4 linked regions of the Drosophila melanogaster genome follow. The protein of the gene in region 1 interacts with the protein of each later gene in a pairwise test. Each region holds a gene or a part of one and is shown in the gene's direction. Other genes may lie near its edges.

Region 1 (9,643 bases):
TGAACACAAAAATTGAATGGGATTTTTCCGAGGACCGGAAAAGCGGCAAGAGCAAACCGCACAAATGCCAATGGAATGACAACCAACCTAGGGGCATGCGGAATGGCCTAAGAATGAATTGAAATTATTTTACAACATTTTCATGTTTCTTGCCATTTGTTTGATTTGCCTCGACCTTCGCCTTCAGGTCACCCCTTTATTGTTTTTATTTCCCTTTTTTTGTATGCATAATTTAGGCTCGAGTGGAGGCCAATTGCACGCGTAAGAAACAAATGAATCCCTCAAAAGAATTGGTTGACCCAAAATAAAACGACATATGTTGCGAAATACCATAAGAAATTTGAGAAAAAATGGCCTAGCAGATGTCAAATTATTGAGCAGTTTTTGTTTTAAACATGCTGGACATAGCACTCGCACATAGTATTTTTTAGTACAGACATTTAAGTTGTCATCCGATTGAATTTGTTTTTAAAACTAACAAGCCAATATATGTATTCTCGAATAGAAACATCTATTTTTGGGAATTTGTATGCTTAAGATTTTATCCACAATTTTTCAATCAAAAATGTTTACCCATCGAGTAAAAAGTAATTAGTTTGCAATGCCTACATTTTCATTTCATATCGGATACTGCTCCATTGAATGACGTTCTCTATTTAATTGAACTCAATCTCCAAATAGCTTTGCAAATCTAGGCTGACGAATAATAGGAAAACGCAATTTGTATCATTTCAAGAGGGATTCCTGAACAAAGATACAAAATTCAAACTGCCAGAGACCATAAACACTTTGTTCCGACCAAGACTAAAAATGAAAAGAGGAAAAGGTAACAAGCATTTATAAATGCCGCAACAAAAGCTAGTGAAATGTGAGCCGGAGACTGGTATGAATTTCGAATTTTGGTTAAGCTATAGCTACTGGGGCGTGGCAGAAAAAGGGGCGGATTAGGTTCAAAGCAAATTGTTGCGGAAGGCAGGAATCAACATTATCATCAGCAAGCAGGATGCTGTTCAGTCGGTTATGGGATACTCATTCTCATTTTGGGCAAATGCAGATGAGGACGAGACAAAACACAGACACAAGTTTAGGGAAGGGGAGGCTTTTCCCTGTGTGTGTGTGCGTGTGTTTGTATATGTGTGGGTGGAGGCGTGGGGGAGTGTTTTGTGTCGCCTTCCGCATATTAATGAGCCAAGTGCCACAAAGCCAAGCTAAACGCGCTCTCATCAATTGCTCAATATTATGACTCTGGCTGGCAGAAATCTGCATACGAAACCCATATTGGTATGTATGCTGAATACTCAGCAAGCCCCGGGAAAACTATTTTGCATTCTTTGTTGCACACATTCTTTTGGTTTTCGTGAACTCTTATAAGAAGAAAAATGGAATTTAAGAAAAAACTATTTCAAATGTCCTTTAACAAAAAGACTAGATAAATAGAAATATAGTATAACCTAACTATAGTTGATCAAAAACTTTTCTAGCTATTTTGCCCTAATCTTTAATCTTGCCATTTATTGTAAAGCAAAAAAAAGGGTTCCATCAATATTAGTTTTAGAAATGAACATTTTTCTGTAGTTTTTTGAAAGATACTTTATAATCTGATCTACATCAACTTTTAATGAGTATACCAAATCGAACCAAATCGTTTCTTACCAAAACTGGGAAAACAATTTATCATTCTTCTGAACCACAAATTCACTCCTCTTTTTCGTATCTCCTCTTTAATTTAATATGAGTTAAAACACAGCTGGTGCTTGAATTTCAGACTCTTATGCACTCCACTTTCGGTTCACATAACTAGAATAATCAGAAATTATTTCGCTTTGGCTGCACCACAGTACGTAGCGTATACGCCGCGGTGTACGCGGGTGTGCGAAGGAGACGCGCAGCGCAAGTGGAACGCAACACGTGTTGGGCGACAGGTGCCGAGCGTTTGGCACACAACTCGACCGACCGACGCACGAATTCGAACTGAAAACTGAACCAGAATCCCCAAACGAAAATGGGAAGCGAGTGAGGCAGGCACGAGAACCGAAACAGGACGAAGGACGAAGCCACGAGGCACAAAGAGAGCGAGGACAATGAAGAGCACTGTGGCTAAGGTTCCTTCATTAGGTAAGCATATTATTTCATATATATCTAGCAACTGTATCACTTTAACTAAAGAAACCTAAGCATAGATAGTCTATGAAATATCTAAAATCCTTTAAATGTTATAACCCGTTCCACAGTCATTCTTTTCATTCAGAAAACTGTGCCAAAGTCATATTAGGACATTTTAAAGAGCGAAACGATTTTCTCTTTCGCTCGAACAGATTGTATGGCAGAATAGGGGGATATTTTCTCAAAGTTTGCGCTCTCAATCAGCTGTTTCCAGTGCCAGGGGGTTGAGTCCTTTAACATTGCAGGAGGTCAGGCATGGCGTGAAAGTCGCTTATCCTAGCTGCTGCTTCTGGCACCCCTCGTTTTTGTTGCGCTGCCGCTGGAGCGCCTGATGCTGATGGTCACGAAAAATTCATTGACCGCCCCAAGTAAAGCAGGTCGCTCGTAATTAAGGTTAAAATACACCAAATTAATTATTCTACCCTCTTTTCAATGCATAAGTAGAATAGGAAATGTTGTTGACAGGTTAAAAGATACAAATACTTGCAAAGATAACACTTCATTTTTAATGCTTTTTTATAGTTTTGGGCAAGAAAGCTTGGCAAGACATATAGTTCACTTGATGAGGATGATTTGGGATGACTATATCCAGCAAGACGCGACATTAAGTTTGTGGCACTTTATTGTTTTTAACATTTCAATACTATTTCAATATATATCGTATAGTGTTTGAGATCTTAAGATAAATTATTTATTATGTTAATACGCTTTGAGCACATTTCATTTAAATTTTTACCGCCCAAACGAAAGCTAAAGCTTCTCAAAGCTGTCTAATAAGTTTTACAGCTTATCTGTTAGGTTCCATCCCCCACTAAAAGCTCCCAGAATGAGCTTTATTTTGGATACCTTTCGTTTGGGGATCTGGGAATTTAAAGCGCTTGGCTCAGTCGGTTGCCCAACACCGTCGGCGACGACCTCCAAACAACCTTTTGGGGTCTCGCTCGGCATGTCTCGCTTATTTCGCTTTGGAATTTCACGTTGACGCCGCAGTCAGCGGTAGCAGAGGCATCGGCAGCGGCAGTAGCAGCGACACGGGCCGAAAATAAAAGCGTTAACCGCTCTCCTCCAGTGCAGCAGCAGCAGCGGACCCAGCCAGTAGCCAGCAGCTAATCACCACATCCCAGATTCAGTTTCCAGTTCGGTGAGTGGGCGTCATACGCAGTGAACAGAACCCCTGAGCCCCTTAAAAAAAATTCAGATATTTTTCCCCCCATTGGCGGCAGTGCAGTTGAAAAGTCGCGTAATCGTTCCCATTTCTCTGGGTGTTTCGTAATCCAAATCTACAGAGCAGCAGCGAATCTGTAGGCGTGTTAGTGTTAGTGAGTGCGTATTCGAATATAGTTTAATTATTCTCTAATCTTACCATTTCCGCGTGCTCGCCACTTTTATGACAAGTTCTAGAACCTCGAGGCTCTCGAGTGTTGTTGACCTATGCACCGCGGTTGAAGGAGTGGGGGGGCTACGCGAACTGCAGGCGATAAGAAGCCTTATCGGGTGACTTTTGGCTCACTTTCGTGAGTAGTAGTTTTCTCTACCGGCTCAACCGGCTCTCTTACTTTTCATCCGCTCTTTCATTCGAGTTCATTTGCTTGTTGGCAGGCTTTCAACTGCAATTTGTAGTCGCCGCTGCGGTTTTTCTTTATAAATAGTTGGCGCAAATGTTAAATGTATGTACTATACATCGCGATATACATATGTATACTTTCCCATCGCTCTCTCGCTTAGACTTCAATTAGCCAACGTCATCGTAAATTCATCAGATTGTTGACGTCTTCTCATGATAGACGCAATATGCTTTTGTCTATTGCATTTTATACCTACCATTTAATTGAGATTTCAGTGAATGAAGGAGAGCAAACATTTTACCGATAGTTTGTAGAGAGTACATGAGAAAAGAGGGGCAGAAGTTTAAGGGTTGTTTTGAAACCTACAGAAAACAAGTTTTGGTACTCCAAAGGACTTCCTTTCAAGATCAACCTGATTAGGATTTTTAAGAAGAGTTTTGAACATTTAAAACAACCAATTTATGTTCCTTTGATCGTTTATATCAAGCTTTGGGAAATTTTATAATGAATATAATGGAATTATAGGTATACATTCTCATTGTAAAGTATAAGCTAATCGATGAAATAAGACTAGATAAGGTACATTGGCTTATCTAGTAAACAGTTACCACAACAAAGTTTTTGGGGTCACATAATAAGGGCATAGATAGAAGTATGGGAGTGCTCGAAGTTTCCTATTTTCAGACAAGTATACAATTATTACCACCCATGTTTACGGCTAATCAGTTGACGTCAGTTCGTAGTAGTAGTAGTAGTATTATCTCAACTGTTGGATGTTCTTTTGACCCACTGTCTGCGTTCAAGGAGGCCGGACCTAAAATCTCGTTATGATAATGCAAAACCTTTGGAACTAAAACGCAACTGGGGGCTCGTTTTTTCGTCGTTTTCGATTCAAAATTTTCACTGATAGCAAGCTCACGAATACATATAGACGGACATGTGGCGGTTTATTTTTATAAACGGTCTCTTGATAGGAACGTAAATTTATTTTGATTGTTTTTTGTTGTCATGCGTTGGCTGCTCTTCGTTCCTCTTTCTTTTTTGTCATCGTATATATTTCGCCTAGTTTTCGAAACATTTCAGTCTTCGATTGATTGCCGGCAAGTGTAGGTGGGTGTTGTCTGCTGAGTGAATCCGCAACATCTATAGATAATTCTATAGATAAGGGTGTACATACATATCTAGTGTCGTTCTGTGAAGTGTGTTTAGATAACTGTTTAGAAATTAATAGATGAAAAAATGATTTGTATTCTAGAGATATATTAATATATTCTTAAACTGTGCAGTATTTTTAATATATGCATATATCAAGCTTTTATAATATCTATCTGTTCTTAGGAACCACAAGCTATTCACGCGTGTACAAAGTGTTAAATATATGGCGTGGGAAATGTGGGGTCGATGTGGTAAACAATATTTCGCGATAAGTTGCGGAGGTCTAATCTCTTAACCTGACATTTATGCCATTCCCAGTCCTTGGCTCACTGTCAATGTCAAACAAGTATAAAATGGGTTTTTAGTCATCGCAGATGACTTCGTATCTGTATCTACATATTGCTGGACACTAGCTATCTCTATCGCACTTCACACGCGCCACACGACTTTCGGTTTTCAACAATTTCTATTCGCATTTCGTAAGCAACAAATTTCGCTGGCAACATTTGTTGCTAAGGCTTGTTGCTTGACCTTGTTCAATGTCAAGCGAAAATTCATGCGCCCTGCGTTGGCGTCGCTGCCTGCAGGAACAGCGCAGCAGCAGCGGCAATAAAAGTGAAAGTTACCACGTCACGCATTATGCGGGTGTGAAGAAGACAGCTGCATTCGGTTAGAGTGAGACACAAGATTCCATGACTTTGATTACATCAGAGGGAATTATTGCCGAGGTTTCCGTGACTTTGCTCAGTTACAAAAACATCATCGTCGAGGTTGGTTCGGATTTTTCTTTGTGATCTAAGCTTAAAACAATTGTTCGGTTTTTGCAAATAGTTTTTAGCAAATTACAGACACTATAAAATAAGACACTATATAATATTTCATTCCAAAAAGTGCAGTGATACTTTTCCAACTTTGTATAGTACAATCCAAGAGGATTTTTCTAAAATGTGAATTTTCATTGATGTTTGTGAGAACCTCTAAAAAAGCTCTATTAAAAGGCAACATTTTATATGTGAATGTTGAGAGTGTAGGACAAACCTAGAAAAAAAAAAATGTGAGAGAGAGAGAGCGAAGAGCTGCAGATATAGAGAAAAGCACGTTTTCCGTGCATGCGCCTTTAATCTCATTCAATCACCCGCTCTTTGCCATCGAATCAGCTGTGAAATACACTACCATGCAAAGCATTTATTATCTTCAATGGAAAAATATTTTTAAATTGGAAAAAACACCAGTGACATTGACCTGACACTGAAAACAAAATTATATAATACCGCATCATTAAACAACAGCATATGACTCAATGGCTCTAATCGGTTAACTCAGAGTTCCACTTTAAATAACTTGACCTTTACAAATATTCTTTTTATTTTATGGAAATAATAATTAGGTCAGTTCAGTAAAATAATCCAACACTTGATTGATAGCTATCTCTGTAGCCGTTGTTATCTTTTTCAGTAGGAACATATGTAACTTTGAGTTACTTGATTTTGGTTGTCAGACTGTGCGGATCGTATACGAAATTTTAGTCCAAATTTTTAGTTTTATTTTTTACCTCGAAATATTTCAAAATTCTGTGCTTACGCAATGGTTTCCAATCATCCGCGCCGCTGCGGAATTCGATAGCTAGCTTATTAAAACACAATGTCCGCTACTCTTTTTCATCCAACAAAATAACACCACACCAAATCAAACGTAAATGGATCTTCGTGCTGCAGAACTACACTCGAATCTCAAAAATGACGACCTACTTCAACTACCCCAGCAAGGAGCTGCAGGATGAGCTGCGCGAAATCGCCCAGAAAATCGTTGCCCCCGGCAAGGGAATCCTCGCCGCCGATGAGTCCGGCCCAACCATGGGCAAGCGTCTGCAGGACATCGGCGTGGAGAACACCGAGGACAACCGCCGTGCCTACCGTCAGCTGTTGTTCAGCACTGACCCCAAGCTGGCCGAGAACATCTCTGGAGTGATCCTGTTCCACGAGACCCTCTACCAGAAGGCCGATGATGGCACCCCCTTCGCCGAGATCCTGAAGAAGAAGGGAATCATTCTGGGCATCAAGGTCGACAAGGGTGTTGTCCCACTGTTCGGCTCTGAGGATGAGGTCACCACCCAGGGTCTGGATGACCTGGCCGCCCGTTGCGCCCAGTACAAGAAGGACGGTTGCGACTTCGCCAAGTGGCGTTGCGTCCTGAAGATCGGCAAGAACACCCCATCCTACCAGTCGATCCTGGAGAACGCCAATGTCCTGGCCCGCTACGCCTCCATCTGCCAGTCGCAGCGCATCGTCCCAATTGTGGAGCCCGAGGTTCTGCCCGATGGCGATCACGATCTGGACCGCGCCCAGAAGGTCACCGAGACCGTCCTGGCCGCCGTCTACAAGGCCCTGAGCGACCACCACGTCTACCTGGAGGGTACTCTGCTGAAGCCCAACATGGTCACCGCCGGTCAGTCGGCCAAGAAGAACACCCCCGAGGAGATCGCCCTGGCCACCGTGCAGGCTCTGCGCCGCACCGTTCCCGCCGCCGTTACTGGTGAGTCATCAAATCCAACTGTAATCTCTGGATTGGAATGCATTCACCTTGTTTTTGCAATGAATCCTATCTAATCGATTGTTTGTCTACAGGCGTGACCTTCCTGTCTGGAGGTCAGTCCGAGGAGGAGGCCACCGTCAACCTGAGTGCCATCAACAACGTTCCCTTGATCCGCCCATGGGCCCTCACCTTCTCGTACGGTCGTGCCCTGCAGGCCTCCGTCCTGCGTGCCTGGGCTGGCAAGAAGGAGAACATTGCTGCCGGCCAGAACGAGCTGCTTAAGCGCGCCAAGGTGAGTCCTTGGATAGTTGTATCTATGCACGATTGATTGCAGTTAGCAATTTAAGTGGTGAATGTATTAAGAGTGTCAGGTATATGCTTCGGAAGTATTCCTTGGGCTAAGAAATATTATACATGTATAATATAACATACAGCATATTCCCAGCCATTGATTCCATTTCCAATCCCAAATGACCACAATGTTCTTCTAATCCTCTAATCTTATCCCTTTCATTTCCCTACCATTATTTGTAACCTTTTTTTGCTTTTGTACGTGAGACATTAATTTCATCATCAATAACCACACATTAATCATGCCTAGGCTAACGGAGAGGCGGCTTGTGGTAACTATACAGCTGGATCGGTTAAGGGGTTCGCTGGAAAAGATACTTTGCATGTGGATGACCACAGGTATTGATCAAAGGATTGAAGAATTGCTGCCTTAAGATGGCGATGAACAAGCTTTCATGGGGTAACTTAAGAATCATAGCCGCCTTTCACCAAATCCGACTTATCGCAAACGCCTTTAACATACTGTCCTCGTGCCACTCATGCTTCGCTTGCTCTAAACCTAATCCACAAAAGCCCAAAATCTGATTAATCCCAACCAAAATCCCGCTCTCCTCCCGCTTCCACAGGCCAATTCCCAGGCCTGTCAGGGTATTTACGTGCCCGGCTCAATTCCGTCGTTTGCCGGCAATGCCAACCTCTTTGTCGCCCAGCACAAATACTAAGTCCTAAATGCCACGCACTAATCCCGAGTCACAATCGAGCGAAGCTATATCCCAAGCCGAATCCAGATAATCCGCAAGAGTTACTGATCGAGGCCCAGCTGGAGTGAGACGGGCAACATTTATATTCCTCCAACAATGGAACTGCAAATATATTCCTTTTATACATTTTTACATTTTACCGAATAAACTGACTAGACCTTAAAGAAAATATTTTTGGCGAACAGAAATAAATTATATATTTCTAATAATACCTTGCTTATGATTTTGTTTACTTTAGTTAGCTTTAAACAAAAATTCGATTTTATTTTACCTTTTAATTTAATTTAAATACATTTTAATTAAAAATGTCTTGTCTAACTTTATTCATGAAAGCCCTTTGCAAACTTCCTACTGTTAATTAGAATAATAATTCGGAATATCTGTACCTGACAGTTAAGTTGAAAACAACGTAAAATTCGTTCGGAGAGCTGTTACATATATTTAATCGAATCATAATTTTCCTCCAAAGAACTTGCAAGATTAAATTTTCCAAAACTTTCCGCAGTACGCAGCATGTATTCGTGCGCTTGGATGCGTGGAAAGTTTTTAGAAAATTGCCGCAGGTGGAAAAAGTGGCGGAAGTTCTTCGAGCGCAGCAAAAATCAGTGTGAAAACTTTTTCATGCTGGCCGAAAAACTTTTTTGCTGCGGCTCGCCAAGTTACAACTAAGTAATAATTAGGAGTAGGCATTTCTCACAACGAAATTAATCAATTTTCCCCGCTTTCTTTACCCTCCCCCAGGCCAACGGTGATGCTGCTCAGGGCAAGTACGTTGCCGGCAGCGCTGGTGCCGGATCTGGATCCCTGTTCGTGGCCAACCACGCCTACTAAGGCGTTTGGTTGGACCTTGGCTACACGTTACTACAAAAAAAAAAAATACGAAGCAGATTGCTGGAAAAGTTTGGCAGATTTGTTTATTTTTACCTTAGTTTCGAGAGCTAAGCAAAGCAAGCATTACAAAAAATAACCAAAAAAAAAAAGATGAACGATTACACTTTCAAAACATGTTATATATATGTAGTACGTGACATTTTTGCAAGTTTATTATATTATAACATTATTTTAGAGAACAACTAAATGATGAGTGCAGAAGAAAGGATTGAATATGTTCGATGGAGAAACAATTCAACAATTCAAACAATTTTATCTTTAGTTTTAAGCACATGAACCTATTAT
Region 2 (5,221 bases), on another chromosome or scaffold:
GATAACGGGTAGAATGGACTGCATGTTGGACTTTCGATCTCGGCCCGAATTTAGACCCAACTGATCTACGTACGATTGTGAGCGATACTTTTATACAGAGTTCTCGATCCAGGGGAATAATGACATGAAGCTTCTATATCGACACGACATCGATTAGGCGCACACTTAATGATTTATTTGCATAGCCTTTTGTTTGTTTCTGGTCTCCGCCGACAAAACCACGTCCGCTGCCAGCTCATATCTCCACCATAGCGCCCATATCGCCCACATCGTCCACATTATCACCGGTCTCCAAATGCCAACTGGTGTCCGATGTCCACGTCCGATTCGCCATGTTCTTTGAAAATTAAATGCGTTTCGTACGTGACACGCAATCCAATCCCCAGCCAGTTGAAAGCGAAAACGGAGTGAACTGTTGTCAATTGCATTATGCTGAAATTGTCAGCTTGAGCGTTAGAATTTTTGATTAAACACTTATAATCAATATTTATGCGATCAACGATTTGGCGTTGAGGTGACCGCCAAGGTCACCAAGCCCGTTCCCCAAACGATTGTTTTATGTCACGTCCTGAACTATCATTACATGAAATAAAGTGAGGATGGTTAAATGTAAATAATAGGTGCAAGCAAAAATATATACAAATTAGTTTTAAATTGCATTTAAGAAATTACTTCAACTACAAATTTGTTTTACTTTATACAAATTTGTCAATATTGTCAGCAAGTCTTAAATCGTTTGATTTTTTTAAACCAATAAGTTATCTAAGTTGAGTATGAGGGTGATTCTAACTATAAAATATATTATTTATATAATAAATGGCTTTTAGGTGCCATAATTAAATTCAGTACAACATAAGTTTTAAATATTTCAAGGCTTCGGGCATTGGACTAAAATAGATTTTTGTCCGCTTCCATTTAACCAATATCCTTTAACTTCGCTCCAAAATTTACGACTAGCCATTAATTTCACCGTCCATCACATTAAGAGCGTTTTAATGTTGACCGATTGGTTTAATCGAGGTGGAGACACTCTCAGATTTTGGACTGATTTCTGGCGAAACCTCGGACATCTACATCTGCTTCCTATTTCTGGTCACGTCGTGGGCGCATAAAGACGCCGCAGACACCGCCGATCGTGGGTAACCAAGACCATAGTGGAGTGCCGACGTCAGACCGTAGGTCCAAAAAAGGATGCCCACGCTGGGTCCACGCGCCGCACACTAAACAGGTGCCCATCCAAGTCCTACCTATAAAAGCGCCCATGGAGGCTCTTCCAGTCATCAGTCGTTGGTTCAGCCTTCCCACAGATACACTTGAATCCATCAATCTCCACCATGGCAAAGCTCCAGGTTATCCTTATTGCTGCAGCCCTCAGCCTGTTGGCCGTTTCCCAAGCCCAGCAACAGCGCTATTCGCAGCGCCTAAGCCGCGGACGTTCGAGGTACTCCGCTCGGCAGGAGCTGGCTCCCGCTGACGCAGCTGATCCGGATGCCGTCACACCCTATCCCTCGGCAGATGAGCTGAAGCCGGAAGTGCCCTTCGACGAGGCTGCTGCTCCCTCGGCCGCCGGGCCCACACCGGATGCCGTCTATGGACCGCCCGATGCTGCTCCTAACAGCGTTCCCGACGAGGTCTACGGCCCACCGGACGTGACCGGAAACGATCTGCCCGCTGCCGCCGACATTCCGGCGGAGCAGCAGGCCCGTTTGGTAGCTGCCAGGAGGGCCGCCAACTACCGGAGAGTAGCTAAGCCCGTGGCCTATCGCCGTCCACTTTCCGCCGCAGCTCGTCCGGCCAAATTGAGTGCTGCCCGCTCCACCGTGCGACGCTTCTAAGTGAAAATCAGGTAAGGCTTTGAGAACTCATCAAGAATAACTTTTGAACACCAAAAAAACAATAAACAATGAAATGATTAACCATATAGAAGATCCTTTAAATATTTCTTTCTATTTTGCTTGCAATTCCAGCAGCCAACTCAAAACAAAAACCCATGACGATCCAACCAGCCACGATGACGACAAAAACACACACAGAAATTCTTTTTCACCTGATCCCACACTCTACACATAAAAAAATCACACATCCGATTATAATATAATGCAAATAAATCTGGTTTCGAGATAAAACGAACTTCTTTTGGCAGTCATACCAGTGAATCACTTCGGTACAGACGGGAAAGAAACTTTCCTAGACGCGTCCAAAAGCCAATTTTCAGCCAACTTGATCAAGAAGCTATTGGTCACCGAGAGAGTGGGTAAAGGGGAAGACCTGGAACCGGTTTGGGAACGCACGCTTCGCAAACTGGTGACGAATTTGGGATTGCCCCGACCGCAAAAAAAAAAAACAAGAAATACGGCAGTCTGAGCTCCGAGTGAAAAATAAATACTCTAATCTTGAACTCGATCCAGGGCAGTCTGGGTAATCAGTGTGGGAAAAAATTCAGAGGTTTCAAAAGAGAGATAATGAAAAACAAATTATTTTTTCTTATAGAAACATGATAACAAGAAATTCAAATAAAAACTGCACGTTAAAATGGTTTCCAGCACGGTAAAAAGAATAATTACAACATTAAGAACATTAACTGCACTTATGGAATCATAAATATGACAAAAAGTTCAAAACAAAAGTTATGAGGAAAAGTTCTCTAGGAATTATCCGGAAGAATAACTATATTCCAGCACACATAATCACCAAATTCAATGATTCATTTAATTGCATTTTCAAATTTGAAATGTTCGCGAATTGTCAAGGGTCGAAGCAAGAGTATTTTTCGCCATTAAGATAAGCACATTACACATCACAAAGTAAGGAAGTTAAGGAATTATTCCCTTCGACAATAAAGCACCTATACCTATATCTTCACAATACAACTACTACAAGATTGAACATTTAATTAGTCGCATTAAAAGTCATTACTATAGTATACACCGAAAAGAAACTATGCAGTTTCACATATATACGTCTTTTTAACCACTATTAAAAATGCCTTCACTTTTTATTTGCCTTCCCTTGATATACGAAGTGAAATTCATATTTAGCTTGGATACTTTAAAAACGCAATTTATAATAATAAATTTTTCTTTCTGTGCAACTCGTTTGATTTGAAGAAAAGCTGCTGTGGAGCAGAGAGCCAAAGCTTATTTAAATGATCTTCCCAGCCGCCTGTACTCAGTTGTCGTAGAAGATCAGACCGGATTACTTCGAGTAAAGCTGCCGGAGAAACGCGTGCAGAAAGTGAAATTTTCATTGCAACAATGTTGAGACGAATGTTTGCCGTGGCCATCATTGCCATGACTTTGTTGGAAAATATTCGAGCCCAACGGCCCTCCTTTGCGGGATTGAGGCCACCAGGTGGACTAAGTCAGAAGGACAAGTACCACGCAACTCAAAACACAGCCGTCGAGAATATCACCGGAGTGGACATAGCTACGAGATTTGGAGAGCCATCCAGTTCGCAGAGGCCAGCTCTAGTCAATCTACCGTTTGGAGCCTCCCAGAAGCCGCCGATTGGAGTTCCCCTAGTACTGCCAATAAGTGGGTCTGCTGCGGAGGCGGCTCCCACAGTGGCCAACCGATTTGGAGCAGAGGACAGTCCACAGTTCACAACGCAGCCCACCAGTTCCACAGCCGGAAGACCCGCAACATCAGTGGCCCCCGTTTTCAACCAGCTGCCCATCGATGCCCATGGTGACCGCGAGTGGGTCAACCACTTGAGTCAGCTGCCCGTGGAGCAGCAGCCCTTCTGGTTCATTAATTACCAGGCCATTGAGGCCCATCGGAATAGCTCGAGACCGAATGTGGGTGGCCTGGAGACGCGGGCATCTTTCTTCCGCGGTTAACTATTGAAATTAATAACAACAATGAGATTTTTACTTACTCAAATATGTGCGAATTTAAATATAGAATTACCTATTTATTTTATATAATGAAAAGCAAGATTTGTGTTTATAGGTGACGATAAGGGAAACAACTCAAAGTTGATAAGATTGATGGCTTGAAAATTAGTTAACAACAGTAGGCTTTGATCACCTTAAAAGAAATAATCTACAAGCTAAACATTACATATTACCAAACAGAAACATAGTCGTTCGACTTTTTAAAAAAGTCAAGTACTCTCAATCCATATATTTTTTCCCTCGTTCAGATCGAACAATCAAATCAGATTTTAATTTCTTCGTGTATATACAGCAGCCGCAGTGATGTGATCTCAGAAACAATTTAAGCTAGAAAGCTCTTAGTTACTCTACGGGTGTACTAGACTCGAAGAGAGTATGTATCAGGTAAAACGAAGTATTTCCGACCATATGATGTATATATATTCTTGAACAGAATCACTAACCAAGTCGATCTGGCCACGTCAGTCTGTTCGTTCGTATGAAAGTTAAACGCTTTTAAAAAGGGTTTTGATTTTTCTATTTTATTGTATTTTATATCGGTATACCACATCATAATAGACAAAGGGGCGTGTCTATTCCCCCACAAAACGCTTCAAACTGTTATACCCACACTTGTGAAAAATGTTGAAATTGTATTATTTTTTTTTTTAATATTTTCCAATATTGATGCCAGAAAAATGTTGAAATTTCTCGTTCGCTCGTCGACAAGCTGAGTAATGGGTATCTGACATTCGGGCAACTTGACTATAGCGTTTTTTCATATTGTACTTATATACATCGAAATGATTTTCGTTTACAAAGTAAGGTTATAAAATATAAACCTGTGTGATAAAAGAATTGCAAAATCAAATTTCAGAAATGTGTTATTTCTGGGATTCGCCCATGGTCACCCCCACAACCACTACGTCCACAATAGAATGTAAATTAATTCCCTATTTGGATGCAAATTCACAACTTTGTGCGCATAGAGACACTTCATTACTTTTAAATGTTTACTATAAATTTGATGTTCATTAAAATAGAAAGAAACAAACTTGTGTTCAAATAAGGAGGATGCTGCGACTGTGGGATAAGTGTTACTTGCAGTACTTGGTTAGGTTAAGAAAAAACCATGTAATATTGGTATGTGTTAAAGGAATGAGTAGCCTAAAAAATGGTGCAGGTTATTGGCTGAATAAGTGTAATACAATTGGGGAGGTGATTAAAGGAGCCCAAACATTTTAAAATGTACAAGATTTGAAGAGCCTTTACTTCGCAACAGGATATTATCAAGCTTTTTATGGATCACCCCAAAGGTCGTCCTTTTTGTGGCTTCTGCCCTCCAA
Region 3 (9,592 bases), on another chromosome or scaffold:
CAGGGACAATCGGCCGCGCTACTTCCGGCGGGATGACGCCACGGGCTTCTGGGTGCTGGTTAGATATTAAAGCTTATTTTAGTGTTTAGTTGTTACGCAGTTCGAAAATGTCGCAGATGTGTTAATTGACTGGTGCATGTGTTAATTGTCGCTGTCCACCGCAAATGCTTCTGCTTGCCTTTTGTTTAAGTTTTGATCGTTAAGTTGATTGTATTCGGCTGTAATTGTCATTGATTTCCTGATTAATTTGTATCTGCTGTAATTATCGGCCGATTAGCAATAGCAATTGATGAATGCGACATACATAATCTCTCTTCAATTAGATACAAGATTGAGTTCCGACGCTGGAGACGGTTGCTTGGGACGAGCCTTAGAAATGGATCTGAACTGGGAACGTAAAAGCGATATATAACGATAAATAATTATTACAATTCTATGTGCAAATGTGCATGTAAATATTTATGTGAACCCCATTAAAGAACCTATTACTATTTAAAAGAGATTCTTAGCTAAATATATATGCGCATATTCCGTGTAAACGAAACGAAACAATTTCGAATGCAATCATTTTAGCTGTAACTATAAACTGTAATCAAAAATGTAAGAAGAAAAATATATAAAAATGGCTTGGCTATACATACACACACACACAGAGAAATAATTGAGTTTTCATTTATGCCATATATTTTTTCGTGGTATTATAAATTTTTAAGACTATGTGATGATTTCTGCTATACTAATTGTTAACTGAACTCCACCAACACATTCGCCATTTTTTAGATACGAAATGGTGAATCTGTTAAGACCTTTAAAGACAATGGGTGGCCAATCTTCGGTAGAAACAACGCCGTTTTTCACAAAATATGTACCCTTTCGAAAAGGACACATTTCAGCACCGGTAGTGGGTAAATTCGATTCGGTCGATTTTACTAGGAAAAAGGAAATGTAGTAGCGATTGAAAAATTCGCAGGGTTTGCTGGCGGCGGCGTTCACGATTCCCTTGACCCAATATCCATTTTTAAATGCGTGGGATTCGAAAAGGACGTCGAACGTTTCGTCCAAGTCTTCTAAGAAAATAAGAGTTCCATTTATCATGCGGTTTCTACCGAGCAATCGTAGCTGGTATAGAAAAAGGGTTTCGGTACTTCCTTTTACGGCATCTATCGACTCAAAGCGGACTTCATAGTTGCTTTTTTTTGATCCCTAAAAATTAAAAATAAATATATTATTGCCACAAATTTCTTTATTGATTATTTTATTTATTCTTACCACTGACACTGTCCACAGGATCAAAAGGCTTTGTATCATCCACCAAAAAGACATATTCCTGAATTTAAACGCTCCAATTGCGAAATTTTGGATTGTGCATCTTTAACTTATAGATTTTATAGCGACATGAGTATGGCATGTCGATAAAATATATTTCAAATTTAATTATAAGTGAGTGTTAATGAGCACTTGTTCTGCTGAAGGGGCATGGCCACAATCGATGTTACAAAAGTTAGGAAGTTAGGATGTTATAACAAGTTAGGAAAATGGTATAATATAAAAAACATGCAGTTTTTCGTAATAAGTATATTAGCAACGCTGCGTATTAAGTTAGTTTTATTTCAGCATTACATTTTATTAATCAACCTTAAACTATTTTAGCAATTTATAGAAATGACCCAATGGATTTGCAATCCAAGCTTATATTGAAGGTAAGACATCTAGTATTTAAGCATCGGTGGTTCAGTGGTAGAATGCTCGCCTGCCACGCGGGCGGCCCGGGTTCGATTCCCGGCCGATGCAAATTTTGTATACTGTTTTTTTTTTTTGAAATCTTAAATTCGTATTTATTTTATATAGTTTGCAAACTAAAAATAATGAAAAAAAAACATCAATTGCTTGACCCCGACGTGATTTGAACACGCAACCTTCCGATCTGGAGTCGGACGCGCTACCGTTGCGCCACGGAGTCGTTGTTAATGCCTGTGCCAAACAGCCATTATACCTAAAGTCAATTTACGAAAAACACTTTGTTATGCAGGTTTTAATACTATTAATTATGTTTTGAAATAAACATTGACTTTGCCTATTAATTTTTATTGATATAGTATTTACTACAAATCATTCAATCATTAAATATTTTCTTGCAGCGCACATGCAAACGGTTGATGCACACAAGCGCCTTCTATCGCTAGTGATGTTCAGCCTGTTATCGATAGCCACCAAGCACAAGTATCGAACCCAAGCACGGTAGCTCTACGTTTTCGTTTTCCCAATCGCAGCCAACTTCACTTCAACGCGTTCGGTATAATATTTAGGTCCATTTATTTATTCGCAACAAATGCGAATGTAAAAACGAATATTGCGTTTTAATTGTGCGCGCACGGTGCTAGCAACCATTGCGACTTGACTACGGTGACATTTCCAGTGTGGGTGTCATTTGCCAGACAGCGTGATTTGGCCCGAAATTCCCCCAATTCAGTTTTTCACATCGCCAGCTTTTCAGCGGTGCACATTGAGTGAATAAGCGTGTGTGTTTCTGCCGCCAATCCAAATTGAAGCGCAAGAATGGATGTGGCGAAGCTGGAGAAGATGAAGGTGGTGGACCTGCGCAACGAGCTCCAGTCGCGCGGCCTGGACACCAAAGGAGTCAAAGCGGTGCTCGTCGAGCGCCTGAGGGCATATGTGGAAGGAGGAGCCGGCGACGGTGGTAAGTTTGTGTGTATGCGTCATTTGACCGCCCGATTGTTCCAGTGTGTATGTGTGTGGGTGTCACTGTGTGCGTGTGCTTTGCCGCGTCCAAGTCATGCTTGTGTTTCGGTTTCTGTTTGTGTGCGACTGAGCGTGAGTTAGTTGTAAGTTTTCCTTATATAATGATAAAGTAATCACATTTCACTTTTCCCGCGTCCAGAAAATGCGCCGGTCACACCAAGCCGCCGTCAGCGTCGCACGCGCTCTATGTCCCGCTCTCCATCGCCGGTGCAAGCTGCTCCCGTGGCCGCAGAACCAGTGCTCGATACTCTCGAAGAGGAGGAGCAGCCGGAGGATAAGACAGTGCCACAGCCAGAACCAGAAAGTGAACAGCCAGCAGCCGAGCCGGAACCAGAACAAAGTGAGCCGGAGGAAGCTGAGCCAGCTGCAGCAGTGACAGAGGACACAACCGTCAACCAAGCGGTCAATGAGGAGTCGCAGCCTGAGCCCGAAGAGTTTGATGAAAAGTCGGAGACAGACGACAAGCAGGAGACAATCGAAGAGGCAGTACCCGCCGTCGTACCACAGAATGAAGTGGCTGATGAACCCATGGAAGAGGATCATGATGCTGCCCCTGAGGAGCAGGAACCTACACAAACTGAGGAGCCTGTAGAGGAGAAACCAGCCGAGAGCACTGTGGCCGAGCATCAGTCAAATGGCGACAGCCAGAAAATGGACGTTGATGAGGAGGATTCGGCCGCCCCGAAAACGGCGGAGGAGACCGAGCCAGCAGCTAAGCCTGAGGATCAGCCCCCGGAACGCCGCAAGCGATCACACAGTCGGTCCAAATCCCGATCGCGCAGTGGCTCCCGCTCGTCCAAACATCGCGGCAGCGTAGGTGACAAGCGTGAGTCAAAGGCAGCGGCCGAGGAACGCACAGTTCCTGAGGACGAGCCAACCATCGAGGAGAACAAAGTCGGATTGAGCTGGCGTAAGTAGACTTGCTGTTTGCAACGAATTCGATACACACATTCCTTAACGTTCAAAGCTTGATCCATCATTCACAGTAACTAATATCCCTTTGTTTTTATATTCCAGTGGACTCTGACTTGCATTTACGCATCGACCCAACCACGTTTGCATCGGCCAAACCCCTGACATCGGAAATTTACTCGCTTATTTGGTCCGGAGCCCGCGCAAACTACGGAGTGCGCGAAGGCAAAGTGTGCTTTGAGGTGCGCCTTTCCGAGGAGTCGGTGCCGGAGAACTCGCACTACTTCCGCGATGAGCCGCATGTGCGAGGATTCCGCGTGGGATTTTCAATGCCCAAGAGCTCCTTGTTGCTAGGCGAGGCCGAGCATTCATTTGGCTATTGCGAGACCGGGCGTAAGGCTACTCAGAGCGAGTTTACCGATTACGGCAAGCCTTACCAGCTGGATGACGTTATCGGCTGCTATTTAGATCTGGAAAGTGAGCCGTGCACAATTAACTACACTCTGAACGGCGAGGATCTTGGAGTTGCGTTCGAGTTTGAGAAGAGCATACTGGGCGAGGAGGGAGCCCTGTTTCCGCACATCGTTACCAAGGGCTACGAATACTTAGTGAATTTCTCTGACACCGAGCAGCTGTTGGTGAATGCCGAGAGGCCCACGCGCAAGCGCCGCAAGCCACGTAAAGACGAAGACAAGGATAAGGACGACGATAAGGATGACAACGATGGCGAGAAGTGGAAGGTCTTGGACGAAGCCACGGCGGATGATGATGAGGTGGAGAAAAAGGATGAAGATGGCAAGGCTTCTTCGGAGAAAGATGAAGAGGAAGCCGAAGATCCTGAAAAAGCCAAAGAGGATGAGGCGGCGCCAAAAACGGAAACAGAAGCCGAAACTAAAGTCGAGGCTCCTGCTGAAGCTGCTAAGCCCGAATCAGAAGCTACCGAGGCTTCGGAAACTGGTGAGTAATGATTGATTGAAAATCAGTTATCCCACAAAATGCTAATATTTTGGGTTTTCCTTTTAGCTGAAACTTCTACCGAAAAGTCGTCAGAAACTGCAGCTGTGTCAAATGGTGATGCTGCTGCAGAACAGGCAAACGATGAAAAGGCATCTGAGGATAAGAAACCCTCCGAAAACAATGATGAAGAAGATGAGGATGGCCCCTCGCCGAACAAGCGACCCAAAACCGATGGAGATTCGGAAAAGGCTGAATCCGAAAAGGAAAAGGACAGGTCGCAGACGACCGAAGATGAGTACGAGGATGTCGTGCCCGAGCCAAGGGATACAGCTGCCCTGCTGGAAGGCTATGTATTGATCGGCTTAGTACCTGTCGAAAAGCTGGTTTCCGGTCCACAACGCGTCGGATCTCGCAAGGAGTGCGAAGTCATTTTACTGGTTGGCTTGCCAGGAGCCGGAAAGACCCATTGGGCCCATAAGCATGTGGCCGAGAATGCTGACAAGCGTTACGAGTTGATTGGACCCGACGCATTCATTTCAAAGATGACAGTAAGTTGGTTAATAAATGTACATAGCTAGGCGCTGAAGATATTCAGTACTGACCAATATATTTGCAGATCGATGGCGCCTCTCGCAAGACTGTGCACAAAGGTCGATGGGACAAGGTGTACGAGATATGCTTAAATAGCTTGGCGGCTCTGGAAGATATTGCCATGAAGCGGCGTCGAAATTTCATACTTGATCAGGTAAACCATTAACAAATGACCTACATACACCCGAAACAAAACACCAGCCCACAAACACACAAGATTACACTATGAACGAACGATAACCAAACACAAAACGAAACAAGCGAGAATTATACGTTGATGATGACTTTGGCGCCCACCCAACACACTGGGGCTCTGATCCCCTCGGGATTGAGGGGTTCCACCAGCGGGGCACAGCAATGTTGCGCTATATATTTTTTAATTGTACATTTGAGTATGCATTTTTTTTTTGCTCATCGCTCTAACTTAATAGAGTGCCCAAGTGCCCCTAGAAGGGGCACCAACGTGCAGGTATGTCCTAATTGTAAGTCGATCCGATAATTAGAGTGCTTAAGTTTGAGGCAGTAAGTATCTGTGGACTTCCCATTAGCTTAAGTTTTACGTGCAGGCGCAACAGTTGACGGGGCAGTTAAGAGGGAATTGTAAGAAAAGTGGGGATGGAAGTGGATATGGATATGGAAATGGCATTGGAGAAAGATGAGTGAGTGTAATGGAATGGAGTGAAGTAAAGTATGGAAGAAGGAGGAGGAGGAGGAGCGAGCGGCATGGATGCCACTGTAAGTAGACAAACACAAATCCGATCGACGAGTCGTTCGCCTACAATCTAATCACATATACGTATTAGTACCTACTATCTCTACTCTATCTCTCTCTCTAAATGCCAACTATTCTCATATATATGTATGTGTATCTACAGAAAGCTATGCGATGCTTCATCCTACAGCCAGCAGCACAGCCAACCGCGACTACTTTTCCCCCATAGTACATTCTGTTATCCTTATGCAAAGTATTAAGTCAACTGTTGTTAGATGTGGCCGGGTTAACATTAACCCGTCGCCGCCCCCTAGGTATTATGTTGGTGTGCGCGCACCGCTTCCGTAAGGCCCCGCTCCCTTGCCGGCGGAGTGTGGGCGGGAAGTGGGTGTCCCGCCGTGCAACAGGTATGTGTTAGATTATAAGCGCTGAAAGCAAGCGAGCTCAATGCGAGTTGGGTTCGATCCCGGTAGACCGAGGTCTCCAACCGAGCCGTATCATCAACGTGTTTCTCAAGTTCGACGACTGTCCCAACAACAACCAAACCAAATCCAACCAAACAACAACTGGCAGACAAAATCTGAACCCAATTCAACCAAACAACACCAACCAACCAACCGATCAACCAACTGTATTCTTGTAGACCAATGTGTATGCCTCGGCCCAGCGACGTAAAATGAAGGGTTTTAACGACTTCAAGCGAATTGCGGTCGTTTGCATACCCAGCGAAGATGAATTGAAACGTCGCATCGCCGAAAAAGAGGAAAAGGGAAATGCTTTTACAGTTAAAGAATCAACAATTAATAATTTACGAGGTAAATATTATCCACCACACCAAAGCAACGAATTGAAAAAAAAAATCCAGAATAATGTACGATCGTATAACTTATTATTCTACCTATCTAAATAAGGAGGCATTCTTGTTAAAATGAAAAACATTATAAAAACTTATGTAACGTATTTAGTTTGTAAGCAGCTGCACTTTATGTATCTATACGTAATTGTAACTGTAAGCCCTTCAAAATATCTCATAATTTGATTATTATTATTACCATTATTCATTAACATTTATTCTATAACAACCCCCACTTGGCAACTGGAACGTATAAAGGATGGACTTTATTCACAACTGGATTTCTTGAAAATCGAAATTTTTGCGCCCTTTTACGTTCGGTTGCCAAAGTTGATCCCTTCTTTCCCTCTATACTCCATCTACAATAATTCCTAATCTGTAATGATAATGAGCGATTTTAGCAATTGTGCAGCCTTATTGATGATGTACACGCAATCTTTTTCCAGCCAACTTCACACTTCCCTCGCTGGAGTTTGGCTGGTTCGATGATATAAACTACACGGAGCTGACTGGTGACGAGGCCAAGAGCGAGGTCAAGAAGTACAACGAGAAGGGCAAAAAGGCCATTGACGCGGAGAGGTCGCGTGACAAGAGATCCCGAGGAAGTCGCGACAACTATCGTCGTGATGACCGGAACCGGAATCGATACAATGATGACCGACGTCGTGATTATGGCGGCCAGCGGCACGAAAGTCGTTGGAGCGACTCCCGCAGGGGAGGCGGCGGTGGCGGTTACTCCAGCAATAGTGGTGGAGGCGGCAGTCGTGGCTACGACAATCGCCGCAACTACAACAGCGGTAGCGGTGGCCAGCAAAATTGGGTGCAGAACAGCCGCAGAAGCGGGTACGATGATCGCGGCTATGGTGGCGGTGGAAGCGGCAGTCGTGGATACGACAATCGCAACCGTGGATACGCAGGCGGCAGCGGTGGTGGTGGCGGCGGCGGCGGTGGTGGTGGTGGTGGTGGTGGTCAGCAAAACTGGATGCAGAACAACCGCAGAAGTGGGTATGACGACCGCGGCTACGGCAGCTCGCGGGACTATCGCGATCGAGACCGTGGCAACGACCGCAGTCGAATGGGCAGTAACGACCGGAACCGGGGCAGCAGCCAGAGTAGCTATCGCTCGGGAGGTGGTACTCATCAACAACGGGATTTTCGGCCTGGCCACCGCGACACCAAAGAAGATAGTCGCGGTGGCTATGAGCGGTCAGCTGGTCAATCGCTACCCAAGTATGGCAATAACACCGCTGTAGGCGGTGGCTACGATCAGTACAAGCAACAAGGTGGAGCACCTGGCGGAGGCAAGGTAAGTGTGCGACCAAATCCTCGACGCATGACAGCTGGCTAAGATCTCGATCGTTCCTGTAGGCCTCCCTTAGCGGCAAGTGGAGTACGTACAGTCAACACCATCAGCAACAGCAGGCGCCGCAGCATCAACAAACGGGCATCTGGCAGACTCAGCAGCAGTCACAACAATACCAACAACCTCAGCAAGCAGCGGCGGGCCAGCAACAATACTGGGCCTATAACCAAATGCAGAGTAAGTGACGCAGTGTTCGACTGCTTAAGGGCGAAGACTATACGAGTTATGTTGATTCTCCCAGCAGGTTATGGCAACCAACAGGCCTGGCAGAGTGCCGATCCGCAGCAGCAACAACAGTGGATGTCCTGGTGGCAGGTAAGCAGGAGGAGTCTTATGAAAGTCATTGGAAGCGAGAATACTAAAGATATTGTTTCTTTAACAGCAGCAGCAGCAGGGCTCTGGCGGAGCAGCGGCTGGGAATGCCAGTGGCGGATCAGGCGTAAATGTCGGCGGCGGCGCTGGCAATAATGATGGCGGTGCCGCCAATCATTACTGGTCTCAATATTCGTACTCCACGCAGTCCAATGCGGGTGCCGACAAGAAGTAGAATGCAGCAACACTATGCAGCCGTGTTCCACCAGGCCCAGACCCCTCTGCGTTGTCCCGAAAGGAGTTAACCACAAATCTGAACTAAACTTTATATAATAGTTTTAAACGATTAACGAACAGTAAAACAAAATTAATTTAGTTTAGCCAGTTTGGGCTAGTCGAAACCAAACAATTGCGAGGGCTAACCAAACCCTAAGTCAAAATTCTTACCTTACCTTCGGATGGATTGTACAAAACTAAGACTACATATATCATTTGAAATTGAACGTGAATGTTTCGCTTTTCATTTTCCACAACGCATTTTCTATATGACAGTGACGAAGCAATTGAATGAAACGCGGTCTTTACTCTGGCACTACGTATCTAGGCAGTACAACTTGTTTTAACGTTTATTACGATTATTGTTTTATTTTTTACAATCAACGCAAACAATTGAAATGAACGCATTAGAGAAGAAACATTAACGAATAAATCTATACATTGAAAAAATCTATTTAAACGATCTTATTACTGGGAAAGGGTGTGTAATGCGCTCGCATTTTAAAGGACAAATCGTTAAAACACGATAAACAGCTAATTTTAAAATTTACATTAGGCCGAATGCAATTTAAGAAATATTGGAGTCTGCAAGTATGTATTTTCTAATTTAGTGTTTAAAACAGTTTTATTAAACTAAAAACTAACGTTTGCTTTTTTTTTTAAATGTATATTTTTATTTCCAAAAAAAAATTAGTAAGTTTGCCTTAGATTTCAAACTTAAGTTGTGCTATGAGTAACTGAAATTCAAAAAAATAAAGCAAAGGATATTTGTAGCTAATAAATATTTTCTAAAGATAAGCTGTTTAAATAATAAACTAATGTGATAAAATTTTTACTTGAGTCACTACCAGTGCGG
Region 4 (7,904 bases), on another chromosome or scaffold:
GCGACTGGCCGGCGTCAAGTGCTAAACATTTTGGCGAATCCCGAGGCAGTGAAATTCGAAAAAGAGATCTATCTGACCAAAGAGATCTAATTGAAGAGAAACCACTGAGAGAATCATGCAGCAATCAACAATTTTTTGGCACTCGGCTCTTCAGTCTCAGCAGCGCTCATCACTCGCCGCAAGGTCAACAAAAAGTGCTTAAAAACTAAACAAAACAAACAATTATAAGCGGAGCACCCACTCCGTTTGCCCCAACCCACGACCCCCATCCCTTCATCTCACTGTCTTTTCCATGCCCCCAAGAGGTAACCACACTTGCCGCAGATGACCTTGCAATCGTTGGTGGAGCGCCTCGGGCAGCAGGGATAGATGGGCAGCAGGGCAAAGCAGCTGGAAATGGATAAGGAAATAATCTGAATTAGAAATATAAATACTTCCGATCTTTGTTATTATCCTAATAGCCCTATACTACGATTAAATAATCTTATTTATATTCCATCCTAAGAATTTACTTTAAAGAAATGTCCTGGCCTTGCACTCACCACATGGTAAGGAGTCGCTCCAGGCGGACTCCCTGCTCGTGCAATCGCTCGTGGCACTCCGGACAGTACATCTGGCGGAGGCAACTAATGTTGGTGGCAGCGGGCGGCGGAGGTGATACCTTCTCGGCCAGTTGGCCTGTGGAGTTGCTCTTCCGGCAGAAGTAGGTATCCGGCTCGGAGTCCTCGGCATAGCCGTAGGGATAGCCTCTGTGTGGGGGCGTGGCCAGGAGCAGCTGGTCCAAGGCCTGAGCCGACTTCTGCTTGACCTGGCCGCAGTTGGGGTTCAGGTTAATCTCCACCAGATCCGCTGCGAACTCCTCGTCGTCGGGAGCTTGAAGGTGGAACTTTAGCTGACGGCTCATGTTGTTGAACTGACTCGACTCGGGTTTTCTATTTGCCTATAAATTGGGTTATTTTACAATTGAAACATAAGAAACATAAGTCAAACAGCTATCGCTTGGCGAGGGGGATTTATTATTATATTTTTTGGGCTGAGGGGGGAGTTAGACAAACCAGTTGTTCATCTGTTTGTCAAGCCCCCGTATTTGCCTAACACTATTTTCATGGTTGCGATGTTAACGGCTGCACTTGAACGTAGATCCCATGAGGAAAGCTTCCACAAAGCTGCCGGCGAGTGGGTGGTAAATGGAGCTTTTTCTATAAAAAATATACACAGTTATCTTAACCCATTGAAGATCGAAGTCTGTTTTTATTTTGACTTGAATAATTAAGACATTTCATAAGGTTTTTCAGGAAATAGTATCAAGCACGGAAAATATATATATTATTTTTAATCACAAATTAAGCAAGTTACACATTAATATCCAATATCCAATAAATAATTAAAAAAAATAAAGGCTTCACAAATGGAATGATGATGCTTCAACTGGCAAAGAATCATATCTACATATGTACATATATATAAACCGGTCACGCATTTGGTAAATTACAAAAATATTATATTATGGCGAGAGCACTCGAGTCGACAACCTGTGTTTGTTTATACTCTCTCCTCGCAAAATACACGTACTAAATGTTACATATGTATATTTTGGCCTTATTCATTGCCTTTATATGCAATAAAGGTGTTATCAAACAAGTGACTCATCTGTCGCCTATTCGGAGGAGAAGCATCGCTGTAGCTCACTAAATCAAGTGCACAATAAAAGAGGTATCCGATTATTAGTTCGACAGAAACCCCACTTGTATGGTAGCTATCACCTCTCGACGATAAGATAGTAGCCAATCGTTGAGGTATTGCGGGAGCCACAGTTTAAGTTCGTTCCTCAGTGCAACGCCAGCCAGCAAAGCGATCGGTTCAGTTCGGCCGGAAATCCAGAGTCTGCATCAAGAAGAAACATAATCCGAAACTATGGACAGCAAGCAGCCTCCACCGTACAGTGAACAGTCCGGATACACTCCCGCACAAACCTATCAGCCCGGTGGCCCCACCCAGCCACCACTGTACCCACCGATGCCGCAGCCACCGCAGTCCTCAACGGTGATCATCCAGACCACCACAACCTCCAACCTGGTGCCCATCGGCAGTGGACCCACCCGCATCCGCTGTCCCTCCTGTCACGCCGAAGTACTGACCACCGTGAAGTCCACTCCTTCCGGCAGGACGCACTGCTGGGCCCTCATCCTGTGCCTGTTCATGTGAGTCTTATAGTCACTAGTCATCTGATCTGAAGTCACTGCTTGCCACCATATGTATGTATGTATGTTGATTGGTCTCAGGAGCTTTGGGCCAACGAAAGTATCTTAGGGGGGACTTAGTGCTTCATTAATCCAGTCAAATGACCTTTTTATAAAATTGCGCAAAATGGAGTAAACCATTTTTAAAAGCAATACAAATCGGATATGTTGCCTATTAAATTCAGTAATATACATAGATGATATGATATCCTATAGATGATATCCTAACAATCTAGATATGTTTTCGTATCGCCCAAGCAGAAATGTTCTATAACCATTTTATTGCCAACTCGTTACAATAGCTCGGTTAAATGTTAAAAAGCTACGCCCATGAACCACTTGCGGCCCCTTATCGCTTGGAAAAAACAATAGGTTTCTACAGGTATTGCGACTGTGTGTACTGGTAATATGTGAAAACATTGTTATCTCAACTGGAACTGGAGTTGAGTCAGATAACGAATCCGAGTGGAAAGACGGGGTGAAAGCAAGCAAACTGACTGATTACGGCCTGTAGACGTCGTAAAGGCCAATTCGGAATTAGTGCTCTGACTAATAGTTTAATTCCCCGAACTTATCTAATCGATTCGTTTTCCACTCTATCCACACAGCTGCTGGCCGTGCGTATGCCTACCTTACTGCATGGACTCCTGCCAGAATGCCAACCACTACTGCCCCAACTGCAGCGCCTACATCGGCACCTACGAGAACTAACTAACTAACGCCTATTTATGCATACAAACGTATATACCTATAGAGAACCCTAAGCACTAGCGTCATAACCGAGAAAAATTGAACTGTAAATACACATGTACGAACGCCACACATTAAACTCATGAGACTCACACAGGAAACAGAAATGCGACAAGATATCTTGGGACAAGGCACTCTTTCCGCTAAATGGATTATGAAGTAATTTAATATTTTCAGAAATGTCTATGATAATGTTGACATTATTTAGTATTTTCCACTACATTTTGTACTGGTACTAAACAATTTCGATCGATCATTACGAGAAACCAACGCCAACATTTTAATGACCATTTTAAAACAATCTTTTTACTTTTTACTATCGCTTAAAAACCGTAATCAGTAAAATGGATCATAAATATCATAAATAGCTAAGACTATATCAATTGTTGTCTAGGAAACATAAACCCTTCTGGCACCTACTCAAGCCAACAACTGGAAATGGCCAAATGGCACAGAGCTACTGGAACCGAATGTCAATCGATTAGGTACTGCACTGGCCGACTCCTCTTGTACCCCTCCATATCGTCATAGTCATAGTAGGTTTCACCTAAAAAGTACTTGTCGATTAGTCAGAAAAGATAACGATTGCGATAGAGCAATGTTGTCATTAAATGGCGGGCTATTTCAGTGCATGCCCCGCCGCAAACATGAGCAGCACATGGATGGGCAGAGCTCCAGAACCGGCCGACACGGAAATGGTGACCGTAACCACGCAGCCAAACTATGGGGTGGTGGTGACCCAGATACCCGTCTACACCCTGAACGGAGTGGGGCCGGGCGCACATCCACTGGCTGTGGGCTGCAAGCCGATGAGGGTGAGGTGTCCGTCCTGCAGGGGCGAGGTCACCACCAGTCTGGCCACGTCCCCCACCCGCAAGACCCACATGTGCGCTCTGACCTTGTATATCTGCTGGTGAGTGGGGCGTCAGGATACCACCGGGCTTACTAACTTTGCTAACCTGATTCTCCAGCTGCTGGCCCTTCATCTGCCTTCCCTACTTCATCAACTACTGCAAGAGTGTCCAGCACTACTGTCCCAACTGTGGATGCCACATTGGGAGCTATAGCATTTGATCAAGTGCTGTGTCTCCGCACTGCCAAAAATGCCTTCCATGTCAAGACTTAATCAAGATTAGCCATATATGTATACAGATACATAAAATAATAACGTTTTAAATTTAAGTTCTTTTTGTTAATGACGGATGGTTTCTACTACTCTCACTGCACATATGAAGTAATCTTTTCTGGTCCATAATTTCCTCACCTAGTGTGCCAGTAGATAGATTTTATATTCGTATTAGGATAAATACCCAGAATATGAGGAAAGCGAATCAATTGAATACCGATACCGATAAGGCAGTTCTGAGTTTAATGAAACTGTCATCGATATACATATACGGAAGCTTTCAGTATTATATCAGTGCTCGTTCGCAGCTGTAAGCAACTGGTTGATATTTTTAGTGTGATTTGAAGAGTATAGAAAAGCATGCGTTGCTACAAGCGCGTAGACTCCCCGCCGCCCTACTCGGATCCATTCGCCACCGCTCCTCCAGCGGAGGACGTCATGCAGCAGAACCTGGCGTCGCCCGCACATCCCAATCCGGTGATACCCGTGATGGCCCAAACCATGCCGGTGTTGCAGCCCGTAAGCGTGATGCATCACCAGACGACAGTGCTGGTGGACAATACCCGCCAGGGAACGATCTGTCCCCACTGCAACGCTCGGATTCGCCTTCGCGTGGAGCACCATCCTACCGGATCAACTTACTGTATGGCGGCGTTGCTCTGCCTATTCCTGTAAGTAGATCGCATTTATGGTTGCAAGTATAGCAACAAAGGTTTGTACATACATAATGTGTATGTAAGCAAACGGAAAAAGAAATGTTTTTACTAGTCTGCTATATCTGTGGCCGCAATTGTTTTGCTTCTTCCTGGACAAGCTATGAGAAATTGCTGATCGTGCCTTATAAGCTATATACTCTATTTCCCATCTCTATCCACCAGATGCTGGCCCTGCGTCTGCGCCCCTTGCTGCTGCAACTGTTGCTACAAGACCTCCCAGTACTGTCCCAACTGCAACTCCTGCTTGGGTTCGTTTTGAAGACGCAGCGAAAACACTCGCCGATTTCATATCATTTCATTTTATATATATGTATATATATATACATAACCAACTATACATACATATATGTATGTATGTTCATATCTCCTTATGTATCGACGGCGTCAATGTGGTGTCTTCATCACTTAACATACATAAAAATATGTTTGCTTAGTGAGCAAAATAAGCTGACAGCGAAAAAATAAACAAATAGATTTTGAAGCGAATGGAATTTTCTTTAATTTCTGTTTCTGGGTATCTGGCTACATTGTTGCTGCAGACAACTAGATTTGCAGAAAAAATAATGTGAAACTTAATTGTTCATACGTTTTTTTTTTTTGTTTTTGTGTACTTTTTGGCGGTCTTTTCCCGAAACTTTTTCGTAGCACAACTCTTTTGTGTCCAGCAATAAATGTTGATATGAAACTGTTTTGAACCGGTAAAATGTTGCTGGGACGAACCGGCATGTTGGCACAGTTTAAATTGATGCTAAGATGCTTCAAGATTACTGTTCATGCTATTAAATGAAATCACTGAAGTTCTTTGCATTATAATTGAATATTTAGTAAAATATTTGAATTTCTGCTAAATGTTTAGTTCTTAAGAAATGGAATAAAAGGATTTTAATTTAACTCAGCCTAGGGATACGCTGTAATCAATTTTAAGGATGTATATAAATATCACTTCCCAGTTAGGCAACATAATGTTGCTAACGGAAATACTTTTGGAAGTGTAGTGTCCCGCTTCGCGCCCTAAACTTCTGACCGCACAACACTTTCGCAGCCCAAACAGTGCGCATTAACTTTTTGTCTCTCTGTGAAATCGGAATTCTACTTTATTTATTTTGACAACGTACCCACCCATACAGATTGTAAGTATGACGGGAGAGATATATTATGCAAGCCTAGGATTGGGTCAAACATGAGCAACGGACTATTATAGTCAGGTCTAATTGGGTAATATCTGGTTGTTTAGATGTTTACCGCTGCTTTGCCGCTCCCCAAAAAATTTACTTTTGCTTGGGGGAGAACTCAGCAAAGACATACAGGACGACAGTAGGATTTCGGGGGGAATGTTAATCACTGGCGACGGACACACCCGCTGTTAAATAAGGATACTGTGCTGGGTGGTTTGCGCTAGTGAGAACATACATAAATAGATTGTGTTGATTTTGGATAGGACCAGACCGAGCAAGCAAGTTGCACCAAACGACGAGCAAAGATGATGGATGGAATCGGGGTTGAGCGGGGCTCAGACACACGCGGTTGTGCGATGACGGCGTCGGCACGAAGCTTGCCACATGGCACAAGAGATTCCGTGGCCCACGAGGATGACCTCACGGCGGCAGGAGGGATTGCGCAGCACCGTGGTGCCATCGACGGGAGATAAGGCGGATTACAGCTTGTTTTGCATGGCGGGTGTGCAATTAAAATCCCCATTAACCAGCCAATTTAATGCTCATGCACCAGCGGCACGCGACGTATTCAAGTTTTCAAGGTCTGCGCTGCAATCAATATGAGAGTTATTAGAGTTTCCTGTGCTTTCTTTCTGCAGCTCCGCCATCGAAATGTCCACTTCCGTTGGCCCGGAACCGTGCATCGTGGTCTGCCCCAGTTGCCGTCAACAGGTTACCACTCGTGTGGAGCCGAAAGCCACCACCAAGACTCACCTGATAGCATTGATTATGTGCCTTACCTTGTAAGCCATGTTCGATATTGATTTCTTAACATTCTGGGTGCATTCTCATTGAGTGATCTCTTTCGTGCAGCCTTTGGCCCTGCTTGCTGCCTGTACTGCACTCAATGCGCCCGGAACTCCGACCACCACTGTCCATCTTGCAACGCCTACATTGGCACCTACGAGCGCTGAGCAACTTCCGCCGGAAGTTGTTTTTTTTTTTTTGTCGTGGACTGCAGCCAGCAGCCGTGCCGAAATGCAGCCCCCATTACTTATCCCCACTTGATCTATTTTTAACTCTCTCACATTTATTACTACGCACTATTTTGATAACAAAACAAATCATTGTAGTGCCGGCATATGTATTCTTCAGCACACCAATAAAAGGGTTCAAGGAAGAAACGAGTGGATTTTACCTGGGGGTTGATTTGTTTTAGAGACAACGCAATTCTTGAGCAGAGTTGAGTATTTCTTATGTTTTCAATAAATATGCAAATTGTTGTTATATACGTGCTAATAGCATAGCTGGAAGGACCATTTCGGAAGGGTAAAAGCTACTGGTTTGTTTACCTGACAATGGAATACCCTACTAAGTGCTAACATTTCTGTTTTATTGGTAAGTTTTGATATTAATTAATTCATCATGGCTGAGCAATTTCTTACTAAAGCTTTTCATCCTGCAAAAAAAAAAGAACACTTACTCATGTAAAAGCCCTTATTCTGATAGCCACATAATATTTAACGGAAATCGCTTAGCAAGCCATCCGACATAGTAGGGCTATATAGAATTCGCATCGCGCCGCAACTCGAAAGTTCGCCGAGCAATGTTGGAGGAGCTCTCTGCGGTTTCAGTCGCTGTCGGCAATTCAAACGCGTAGCACACATCGGTCGGAATAATTAGAATGGAGAAGAACTTTCAATACGAGAATATGCAGCCTCAGGCTCCGGGTTTCCAGGCACCGCCCAGTTATGATAGCGCACCGCAGCAGGTCTATCCTCAGCTCCATCAGGGACAGGGAGTGATATTGCAGGGTGAGAATACAGAGAACTATGAATCAATCGGAAATAATGGTCAATTCTTCTGTGCAATTCAAACATAAAATATAATATCGCATATTATACGAAATCCAATCGTG

The links.
Region 2: the proteins of Ald1 (region 1) and CG14567 interact in a two-hybrid assay, tested with the Drosophila melanogaster proteins (one large-scale study listed by BioGRID).
Region 3: the proteins of Ald1 (region 1) and CG30122 interact in a two-hybrid assay, tested with the Drosophila melanogaster proteins (one large-scale study listed by BioGRID).
Region 4: the proteins of Ald1 (region 1) and CG13510 interact in a two-hybrid assay, tested with the Drosophila melanogaster proteins (one large-scale study listed by BioGRID).

The regions. Positions count from the first base shown.
Region 1 is NT_033777.3:26,254,997-26,264,639, reverse strand, and holds Ald1 (aldolase 1), read left to right. Parts: upstream 1-3,048; 5' UTR 3,049-3,304; exon of another isoform or gene 3,305-3,486; intron 3,487-3,526; exon of another isoform or gene 3,527-3,738; intron 3,739-4,804; exon of another isoform or gene 4,805-4,838; intron 4,839-5,426; exon of another isoform or gene 5,427-5,653; intron 5,654-6,360; exon of another isoform or gene 6,361-6,598; 5' UTR 6,599-6,619; coding exon 6,620-7,415; intron 7,416-7,507; coding exon 7,508-7,707; intron 7,708-8,016; coding exon of another isoform or gene 8,017-8,112; exon of another isoform or gene 8,113-8,166; intron 8,167-8,332; coding exon 8,333-8,428; 3' UTR 8,429-8,674; downstream 8,675-9,643. UniProt on the Drosophila melanogaster protein: Enzyme of the glycolytic pathway. Glycolysis is essential in glial cells but not in neurons; neurons rely on the citric acid cycle for their energy needs, and on lactate and alanine secreted into the hemolymph by glial cells to fuel it.
Region 2 is NT_037436.4:21,736,380-21,741,600, reverse strand, and holds CG14567 (uncharacterized protein), read left to right. Parts: upstream 1-3,170; 5' UTR 3,171-3,266; coding exon 3,267-3,839; 3' UTR 3,840-3,895; downstream 3,896-5,221. Other genes in the region: CG14572 (uncharacterized protein), read right to left, coding at 1-24; CG14566 (uncharacterized protein), read left to right, coding at 1,335-1,835.
Region 3 is NT_033778.4:18,631,925-18,641,516, reverse strand, and holds CG30122 (uncharacterized protein), read left to right. Parts: upstream 1-2,246; 5' UTR 2,247-2,556; coding exon 2,557-2,698; intron 2,699-2,899; coding exon 2,900-3,670; intron 3,671-3,777; coding exon 3,778-4,629; intron 4,630-4,695; coding exon 4,696-5,177; intron 5,178-5,245; coding exon 5,246-5,374; intron 5,375-6,575; coding exon 6,576-6,747; intron 6,748-7,231; coding exon 7,232-8,091; intron 8,092-8,153; coding exon 8,154-8,325; intron 8,326-8,389; coding exon 8,390-8,463; intron 8,464-8,530; coding exon 8,531-8,695; 3' UTR 8,696-9,189; downstream 9,190-9,592. Other genes in the region: Ntan1 (N-terminal amidohydrolase 1), read left to right, coding at 1-70; CheA56a (chemosensory protein A 56a), read right to left, coding at 715-1,203, 1,270-1,323.
Region 4 is NT_033778.4:22,656,075-22,663,978, forward strand, and holds CG13510 (uncharacterized protein), read left to right. Parts: upstream 1-1,826; 5' UTR 1,827-1,914; coding exon 1,915-2,201; intron 2,202-2,848; coding exon 2,849-2,951; 3' UTR 2,952-3,637; coding exon of another isoform or gene 3,638-3,903; intron 3,904-3,961; coding exon of another isoform or gene 3,962-4,064; 3' UTR 4,065-4,476; coding exon of another isoform or gene 4,477-4,787; intron 4,788-4,994; coding exon of another isoform or gene 4,995-5,091; 3' UTR 5,092-5,315; downstream 5,316-7,904. Other genes in the region: CG43325 (uncharacterized protein), read right to left, coding at 279-390, 543-904; CG13511 (uncharacterized protein), read left to right, coding at 3,638-3,903, 3,962-4,064; CG42565 (uncharacterized protein), read left to right, coding at 4,477-4,787, 4,995-5,091; CG4250 (uncharacterized protein), read left to right, coding at 7,671-7,839.